2 linked regions of the Arabidopsis thaliana genome follow. The protein of the gene in region 1 interacts with the protein of each later gene in a pairwise test. Each region holds a gene or a part of one and is shown on either strand. Other genes may lie near its edges.

The links. The genes of interacting proteins can lie anywhere in the genome.
Region 2: the proteins of AT1G15900 (region 1) and AT5G35460 interact in a protein complementation assay, tested with the Arabidopsis thaliana proteins (one large-scale study listed by BioGRID).

Annotation. Positions count from the first base shown.
Region 1 is NC_003070.9:5,462,151-5,465,861, forward strand, and holds AT1G15900 (uncharacterized protein), read left to right. Parts: upstream 1-2,122; 5' UTR 2,123-2,205; coding exon 2,206-2,547; 3' UTR 2,548-2,797; downstream 2,798-3,711. Other genes in the region: AT1G15890 (Disease resistance protein (CC-NBS-LRR class) family), read left to right, coding at 1-1,811.
Region 2 is NC_003076.8:13,670,674-13,676,526, reverse strand, and holds AT5G35460 (uncharacterized protein), read right to left. Parts: upstream 4,039-5,853; 5' UTR 3,930-4,038; coding exon 3,849-3,929; intron 3,749-3,848; coding exon 3,629-3,748; intron 3,543-3,628; coding exon 3,485-3,542; intron 3,393-3,484; coding exon 3,292-3,392; intron 3,213-3,291; coding exon 3,117-3,212; intron 3,029-3,116; coding exon 2,935-3,028; intron 2,702-2,934; coding exon 2,464-2,701; intron 2,339-2,463; coding exon 1,981-2,338; 3' UTR 1,024-1,980; downstream 1-1,023. Other genes in the region: AT5G35450 (Disease resistance protein (CC-NBS-LRR class) family), read right to left, coding at 5,842-5,853. UniProt on the Arabidopsis thaliana protein: Glycerophosphocholine acyltransferase (GPCAT) that utilizes acyl-CoA to acylate glycero-3-phosphocholine (GPC), forming lysophosphatidylcholine (LPC).

The DNA.
Region 1 (3,711 bases):
GCAACATCCTCAACGTAAAGAAATTTGTGCTGTTATTGGATGATCTATGGAGCGAAGTAGATTTAGAAAAGATTGGAGTTCCACCTCTAACGCGAGAAAATGGATCCAAAATAGTTTTCACCACTCGTTCTAAAGATGTTTGCAGAGATATGGAAGTTGATGGTGAGATGAAAGTTGATTGTTTGCCACCGGATGAAGCCTGGGAACTGTTCCAAAAGAAAGTTGGACCAATCCCATTACAGAGCCATGAGGATATTCCCACACTTGCAAGAAAAGTAGCAGAAAAATGTTGTGGCTTGCCACTTGCACTCAGTGTCATTGGCAAAGCTATGGCATCTAGAGAGACTGTTCAGGAATGGCAGCATGTGATTCATGTTCTGAACTCGTCTAGCCACGAGTTCCCAAGTATGGAAGAAAAAATTCTTCCTGTTTTGAAGTTCAGTTATGATGATTTAAAAGATGAAAAAGTCAAATTGTGCTTCCTTTATTGTTCCCTGTTTCCGGAAGATTATGAAGTAAGAAAGGAAGAGTTGATAGAATATTGGATGTGTGAAGGATTTATAGATGGGAATGAAGATGAAGATGGAGCTAACAACAAAGGTCATGACATAATTGGCTCGTTAGTTCGTGCACATCTATTGATGGATGGTGAACTAACAACAAAAGTGAAAATGCATGATGTCATACGCGAGATGGCTCTTTGGATAGCGTCGAACTTTGGAAAACAGAAAGAAACACTTTGTGTGAAACCCGGTGTGCAGTTATGCCATATACCAAAGGACATCAATTGGGAAAGTTTGAGAAGGATGTCTTTGATGTGCAATCAGATTGCAAATATATCTTCTAGTTCCAACTCTCCCAACCTCTCAACTCTATTACTCCAGAATAACAAGTTGGTGCATATATCATGTGACTTTTTTAGGTTTATGCCAGCACTCGTGGTCTTGGATCTTTCGAGGAACTCGAGTCTCTCTAGCTTGCCGGAAGCAATTTCTAAGTTAGGTTCCTTGCAATATATCAACTTATCAACAACAGGGATAAAATGGTTGCCAGTTAGTTTTAAGGAGTTGAAGAAATTAATCCATTTGAATCTGGAGTTTACTGATGAACTTGAAAGTATTGTTGGGATAGCTACAAGCCTACCAAACCTGCAAGTGTTGAAATTGTTTTCTTCTCGTGTTTGTATTGATGGCAGTTTAATGGAAGAGTTACTACTCTTGGAGCACTTGAAGGTTTTAACAGCAACTATAAAGGACGCCTTGATTTTGGAAAGTATACAAGGAGTGGACCGATTGGTGAGTAGTATTCAAGCTTTATGTCTCAGAAATATGTCAGCACCGGTTATAATATTGAACACGGTAGCTCTGGGTGGTCTTCAACACCTTGAAATCGTGGGCTCCAAAATCTCAGAGATAAAGATAGATTGGGAAAGAAAAGGAAGAGGGGAGCTTAAATGTACAAGTTCTCCTGGCTTTAAGCACCTCTCTGTTGTTGAAATATTCAATTTGGAAGGTCCAAGGGATTTAACATGGCTGTTGTTTGCTCAAAACCTCAGGCGTCTATCTGTGACGCTGTCATTAACCATAGAAGAGATAATAAACAAGGAGAAAGGAATGAGTATTACCAATGTGCATCCAAATATCGTTGTTCCGTTTGGGAAGCTGGAATTCCTTGAAGTAAGGGGTTTGGATGAGTTAAAGAGAATCTGCTGGAATCCCCCGGCTCTTCCAAACCTGAGACAATTTGATGTACGAAGCTGCCTTAAGCTACCGGAAGCTGCCACTGAGTTTCCGCGACATGCCAATGAATAATGGGAGGACGGTGCTCCGGTGCTAGCTGATGGTTTCTGGCTTATGTACTAGTTTTGGAGAATGAAGCTATCGCAGATCGCAGATGTACTGCTTTTCTATCTCCCTCATTCTTGCTTGATTTGACACTCTCTGTTTGACTATATCCTTTCACTTCTTGATTTGGTTTCTGTTTGTGCACTGCTTTTGTTCCCGATTAACTTGTTTTCAAAGTTTTGAAAGACTATTTCCTTTTTCAGTTTTCACTTGTATTTTGTTTTTGTCTAATAAGTTCAAAAAATTCCAAGTGCGTTATCATTCTCTCTTTACTCTAATCTCTCTGAGTTTATTACTTTAAAAGGTTTCCTAATCTTTGTAACGCGGAAAACCGTTTTTAGCCTTCCAGTAAGAACACTAGATGGAGACGCAATTTCATGGCGGCGATGGAGAAGATCCTTGGCTAGCTCGAGACAAACTATACCATGTAATATTCTGCTTCTCAATCTCTCTTATCTTCTCTACTCTCGCCTCTTTCTCCCGCTACTCCTTTCTACGCCGTCACTCCATCTGGATCGGATCTGCTTTCTCACTCGCCGCCGGTGCGGCTAAAGAAGCTGCCGATCAAATTGGTATCTTCCCTTCCGCAGGTGCTTCCGTTAGAGACGCCGTCGCGGACGCCATTGGAGTTGTGATAGCTGCTTTGGTTCTCCTCCTCTGGAAATCTCGAAGATCACGTACCCGACCCATCCTTCCGATTTGAATCTTCTTTCTTATTGCTGCCGATTCGATTCACAGTAGAAAATATTCCGTTGAAGCTTGTCAGTGTTGTATCCACGGATAATCTCGCAATTTTTATCAAAAGTTTGATCATCACAAAATTTTGGTAATCAGTCTCCTTTGATTTTACTTGTTGAAATGAAAACATGCAACAAACAGTTTATGAGAGTATTGTTGATTCAAGTAAATCAGTTTTGAATAAAACTGTACTCAGATTATTGCTGCTAAAGTATATGATTCATGAAATCTGAAATTTTGAATTAGTTCAGTGTTTAGGCTCAATATCAAATATTCGTTTTCGCCATTTGCTCATTCATTGTGAAGATCAAGGAGAGAAACATTTGGCCTGCTTGAAACATCACATCAAAATTTGAAAACCAACAAAATTGAAAAGATTATGATGTCCAAGACCAAGACCAAAATGAATTTTGGTCAAACATGAGTCAAACATGATTTTTTTTCTTTTTCTTTTTCTTTCATCAATGTGTTTTTAGTCGTTATCTTTAATATTGCTTTTTCCTAACTCTCCTTCTATTGGCGCATTTATTTTTTCTGAATCCTAATTCATTTTTTTTTTGTTCTTAAATTAATTCCAATTTCCAAGTCCTCTTCATCTTTATTGCTTTTTTTATTCCCTAACTCTTGTTTTATTGGCATAGAAATTTTCTTCGGATCCTCCTCACTGTCTCTCTATACTCCACTCTTCATCAAGCGTTGGGTCATCGCCGTCTTCCCTTTCCTTCCCTCTCTAACGTAAGCTCCAGATTTCTTCTATTCTCTGTTTTCTCATTGAAATCCCTAGTAATGATTTTCTCTATTCTCTGGGCATTTCGTGCTTCAATGCCTTTACTCACTTCTTCTTTAAGAAAATATTTTGGATTTCTCTATGTTCCTTATCATGCATGCGACATGCGTGAATCTCTTAGCTGAGTTTTGTAAATGCTGTATCAATTTCGTCTCTTTTGCTTTCTCTAGTTTATTTTTTCCTTAAGTTCTTCCCTAGGGTTTCTCTTGCTCTGAAGATTTCCATACTATCGACTCAGTTTGCTAGAAATTGAGTCTCTTTTGGGCTTTAAACTTTGCTGCATGAACTATCTGATGTGACAGACTCATTTTAACTCTAAAAAGTTTTTCGATTTCTTAGAGA
Region 2 (5,853 bases), on another chromosome or scaffold:
CACATGTCAATATCTGATCAATAAATTTGACACGTGGCACAATCCTATGAGTTATTAATTTTGAAAACCATATTTTATATAATAAGATTCAGAAATATTTTCCAAAATCCATATATTTTCTTATTTCATATGTTACTTTTTTCCTTTATACAAAAATCTTAATATAAAAAATAACTAGAATCTATAATAATGTTAATTAGCGAGATAGCTTTGGTCGTTTAAAATCTCATGTGTACAGTCTCAAAAGCTTATAACAAAATATTAGAATCTAAAAATGTTAATTAGCATTTTGGGAGATTTATTGCGGATCAAGCAAGTCGCTAGAATCGGCTCAGAGACGGAAACCGAATAGTCAACTCGAACCCATTGATAGTGTCACAAAAAAAAGGTCTTGTATTCGCCGTGCTAGTGGATCAGTTTTGCTGGTTCCGGCCACCACCCATGTCCAACCTCAACCTCCTTAACAGCGTTGGCAATTTTTTCTCAGTTTAGTAAATATAGATTGTCGTACTGTCAAGGTCTTAAGCGCATTTCGAGAAATTTTATTCATAAAATTAAGTTTTTTCATTGAATGAACAAAAAATGAGACTAGCGTAAGTGAGAAATATGCCAAGTGTTGTTACTATACTCTCAAAGGTTGATCGATTACCATCATGAATATTGATATCATGGACAACTCGGACCTGACAAAACACATGATCAAGATAATTTTTCAAAAAACATTGTAGTCAAGGACACACCAACAATATTTACATTGATTTTCTGTTTTCTTTCTCTGTTCAGTGCGGTATTTGGCATGTATCTTAATGCGACCTACTTTGTAGATTATATAATCAAAATCTTATTCCATTCATTTCATGTGATACACGACTACACGTCCTGGATTCCACCAAGACAAGGCTCACGGGTCCAATGCTTAGAAGCGAGCGATGGAAGCTTTTAGATGAGAAGTATTTGATTCTACAAACAACCTAGAACTCGCAAGAACAGATTTGATTCAAGATACAAAGTATTGAAGCAAGAAACAAACTGAATTTCAATTGATCAAAGCGTGAATACAAAGTAGAGAATCAAAGAGCTTAAATTGAAAAGTACAACAATGGTCTAAAACTTAGAAAAGGAAACCGAATAATGCGAAATAAAGAGAGGAGCGTGATGATTCTAGCCGTTAGGCTATAATGGAGGATCTTCGGTGATGGCGTCGAGAGCTAAGTTAAAGTCGCAGCTTCTAAACGTCGTGTAGTCTTTTCATGAGGGTGAATATAATCAGCAGAAAGTCTTCAAGTACATCAGGGGGCTCTTCGGTTTGGTTTGACTCAATTTGACCGTACGGTGCAAATTGGTGGTTCTTGAGTCTTCTTCCAAATCAGCTCGTTACAGGGGCGATTTGCATCGATCAAAATCCTCTTCATGGTCGATTTTTGAGTGAATTCTTTGGCGGAACTCAAGTTATTAAGCTTCATCTCCACTGAACAATAGTCGTATCGGACATGATGGATTTCATAATGCTATCGGCATACTTATTAAGCTTATTCCGCGGCTGGTAACGACATGTTCGAGAACTATGCACTATCAAACACATGAATGTTATGATCTTTAGTGATGGTTGTTTTGTACAGCAGAAACAGAAAACAAAATCCGCGTCTCAAGGAGAACTTATCCCAATCTACTTCGCTGAAATCCGAAGATTTTCCTTTCTCGAAAACGCGTTAAAAATATAGTTAAATCTCTCATAATGCAATTTTAAGGCCAGAATGTCCTAGCGAAACAGGATCAAAACTTTGGCTAAAGAGTAAATAACAAGTTTCTTTAGAAAAAATAAACTACAAGATCATTCACATACATTAAGCTTTTAGAATGATGTATAGCAACAAGAGAAACAAACAGTTATAGAACAAAACATGAGGAACAAAAAAAACACCAATCATGATTCACCTTTGAAAACTTTATTTTACATGTACCTTTTTGTTAGAACCATGATCATGTTTCAGTAGATTTTGGCTCATTCTCAGTCGGATGTGACACAGCTTCATGATGTAGTATCTGCTCCTCTATCGGCTGCATCTCAGCTTTCTTCTTCTTCTCTTTCTGGATCACTTGCCGTGGCATTACCTCTAGTAAAAAGCTCCCTCCGTTCCACACAGCCGCAGAAATCTTTAGGATCTGAAAGATCACATGAAGTCTATAAGATAGGAAGATCGGTACGGTCAATGCCATGGTTGCCACCGTGAAGATGGCCTGGAATAGGATGTACATCCATATACGATTCTGATCCCCTAGCAGACCGCTCAGCTGCCACAACTTATTGTTTGCCTTTTCAGCTTTCTTCGACAGCTCTCTGCACATACCAAAGGATTCCATCAATACAAGTGTTCACTCTATGGTAAGAACACATTACATTATGCTGTGACCTTAGCGATCAATATGAGGAGAACATTAACATACGGCGTAGACAAGAGATACCTGTAAGAAGTCATAACTTCAGGATCTCTAAGGAGTCTCTGCCTACGCAGGACATTGACGATTAGAAAATAGAGCACTTGCCAAAGAGTATAAACGACTAAGGGGACGAGAAACAGCCATGTGAATAGGTAAGCTTTGTCTTCAACATAAGGCCATGAAACCCTACGATCAGTGCCTACAGGGTGCATAGCTGCAAAAGTCGCTGGATTCCACCACCTAATCGTGAAAAACACGAGCCCTGAAACCAAAATTCATTACAATAATAAAGAAACAATGGAGAGAGAGAGCATAAAGCTTAACTATATCTATCATATGCATTACAACAAGGAACCATGTGTTTGAATTAAAAACGGTTGAGAGGGGAACAACAAGCTAAGAATTCATACAACTACTTTAATCAAAGCCGTCAACTTTAGCAATATGAATCAATAACATATCTTCTTCTGTCAACAAGAAGATTATAGAACTCACCAGGTAAGAGATGTATAAGAACACTAACAATCTTATCCGGCGAACTAAAAACCAGACTGCAACGCCAGACAATAATCGCCCACGCCAATGGTCCCTGCAGCACAAGACACAACCAATAAAATAAATCAGCACACACAATGACACAAAAGACTCATATACATACATGTAGTTAAAAAGCATACCTCAGCAAAGGAAAAGCAAACCATGAAAAGCTTTTCATTCTTAGGATACAGAAGAAGATCAACCAAGAAGATTGTATTGGCATAGTAGCAAAAGTCCTATCACATACACAAAAATTGTTTCAATAACAATCAAAACGACTGTTTCTTAATTCCAAATCCTCAAAAGAGACATTACCAGAAGATAATAATGCCATTTCTTAAACCGGTAATATATCCATCGAAGAGGAACAAAGATCACATAGAAGAAACAGTAAACTAAAGGAATGTCTTGAGGTCCTGAAAACGAAAACATCATCAACATCAACAACATTGAATTAAGAACAAAACACAAAAAAAACAAAAAAAAAACACAATTTCTTTGAACTCACTTGCACCAAGTAGGAAACAAAAACCTCCAAATCCAAGCACACCAACGAGATGTGTCACCTTTAAAACATTACAGAACCAAACATTTTCAAACCAAAGTAACTTAAAATCAAAACATGATTGAAGAATCAAGAGAGAAACCTAACCTTATTGATGAATCTCTCATGTTCTTCGGCTTGTTTAGCGATCTTAACGGCTTGTTTCGATAAGATCTCACGCGTTTGTACCGCTTGTTTAGACAACAACTCTCTCGTCTGAACAACTTTCTGTCAAAATCAAAAACAATTGGTCCACAAAGTCAAAATCAACAAAATTGGAACAAAAGAGAAACATCAAAAATGGTGAAAATCGAATCTGATGTTGTACCTTTGATCGATCTTTGAAACGTTGTTTAACAGCATCAAACGAGTCTAGTCCATTGGAGTTTGAATCTTCGTTATTCGCCATTATTGCGGTCAGATTTCTCTGTAGATGCTTTTGTCGTTTTTAAAGGAGAATCCGAAAACACTGAATTTTTCTGTTTTCAGGATATTTTACTTTATGCGGAATTAAAAATTTGGTGAAGGAAAATGACCCAAAAATCATTATTAAACTCTTTATATTCGTTACTATTTTTGTTCAGTTTTATAAAGTGGTGATTAATTACATGTAATCCAATAATTACATTCATAATTAAGTAATAAGGACTTTATGTTTTATCTTGGGAAATCAGATGGAATATTAGTCCTCAAAGTAAATTAATTCCATTAATTGCCTTTGGTGATTATATAATTTAAAGACTTTAATAAGAGAGACTGAGAAGGAGCCACGTGTCGAAAGTTGAAACTTCTAGGACCCTCTTTTGCGCGGGTCGAGAAATTTCCTAGCGTACACGTATTTTTCTACATTATTATAGTTAGAGGAACATTTTGTTTAATTGCATCTTGTATTAAAGAAAAAAAGTAAAAAAAGAATGCTGTGGTATAACTTCTTTACTAGGTGCCGACAAAAAAAAAAAACTTCTTAACTAGGTTTTATGAGTTCAAAACTAGAGTTTCTTGACAAGGTTTCACATGTTCCAGAAGCTTTAGTTTTGTTTTTGGATGAAGTTTGAAAGATTCAAAAGCAGTGTTGTAAAAAGCGGTCTAGACGGTCGTTTATATGCCGCTAAGCGTTCAGTTGACGCCTAAATAATCATCTCGACTGCCTAAAATAACATAAATTTCGTTTTAGTATATTTTTTTTATTTTTAACTAATATTGCTTAAATTTTATAAGTTTTACTTCTACACATGGTTATAAACATTCATATATTGTTGATATAAATTAAAGAAACATTTTTATCTAATTTTTGATTAGGATCCGATTAATATTTTCTAATATATAGTTTTATATGATTTTTATCTATAATATCATATTTAAAATGTTTTATGTCATAAACGGATAAACCACCTAAAATCACTTAAACCCCGACTAAGCGTTCTAAACGCTAGGCGTTGGGTCATCGCCCGTTTATCGCCTAACACTTTTTTGAACATTGTTCAAAAGTAAACAAATATACTAAAGCCATAGAATAAGGGGGTCTGTCTGAAGTTGAAACAAGATTTAAAAACAAAAGTACAAAAACTGGTGTTTTGTTCTGACAATCTTATGTTGTTCCTGAACAAGAAATCGACTAATCCCTCAACGACCCAAGTCTAAGTCACGAGTGCAAATATCACACAGTACTGATAAAAGAAATTAAAATGAAACAAAAAACTTGTACAAAATGAGATTGTTTTGTTTATTGTACATCAGTTTTGCTCGTCTTGGTTCAACCATGACTTCACTATGCGTACACAGTAAAAGAGGTGCAAAACTAACAAAACTTAAGCCTAAATGTGATAAAAAACAAATCTAACCAGATTTGATGTAAATAAAGCTTACAAAAGCTAGCTAACTGTGTTAAATCACAAACGAGAAAACAAAACAAATTCGTATAAACATAAATATCCAATTTTTACAATGAACTACAAAAAAAACAAGGTTCGTTTCTCAATTTTATGAAAGAGTTCTCAAGCACGTTCCATGCATCCACACCGAAAACAAACATCAATAAAAAGCATATAGTTCTGAGCCACAACATAACGATGCACTGAAAGCGAGAGCTCCAACGTAATCAGTAGTACTTCAGAATCTGTATTCCAGAGATTTATCAGTAGATGACTCTTGTGAAGCAGCCTCTATCTCTCCCAATATAAGAGAATTTGACTAGCTTCTTGTTCTTTCCTGCATCTATTTAAAAGATGATCGATTTTAGAACAATGTATAAAAGTTGAGACTGTCCACATGACTTTGAAAAGTGAACATTATTATACCGTTTATTTTTTACCTGCTACTGGTTATTCTCTTTG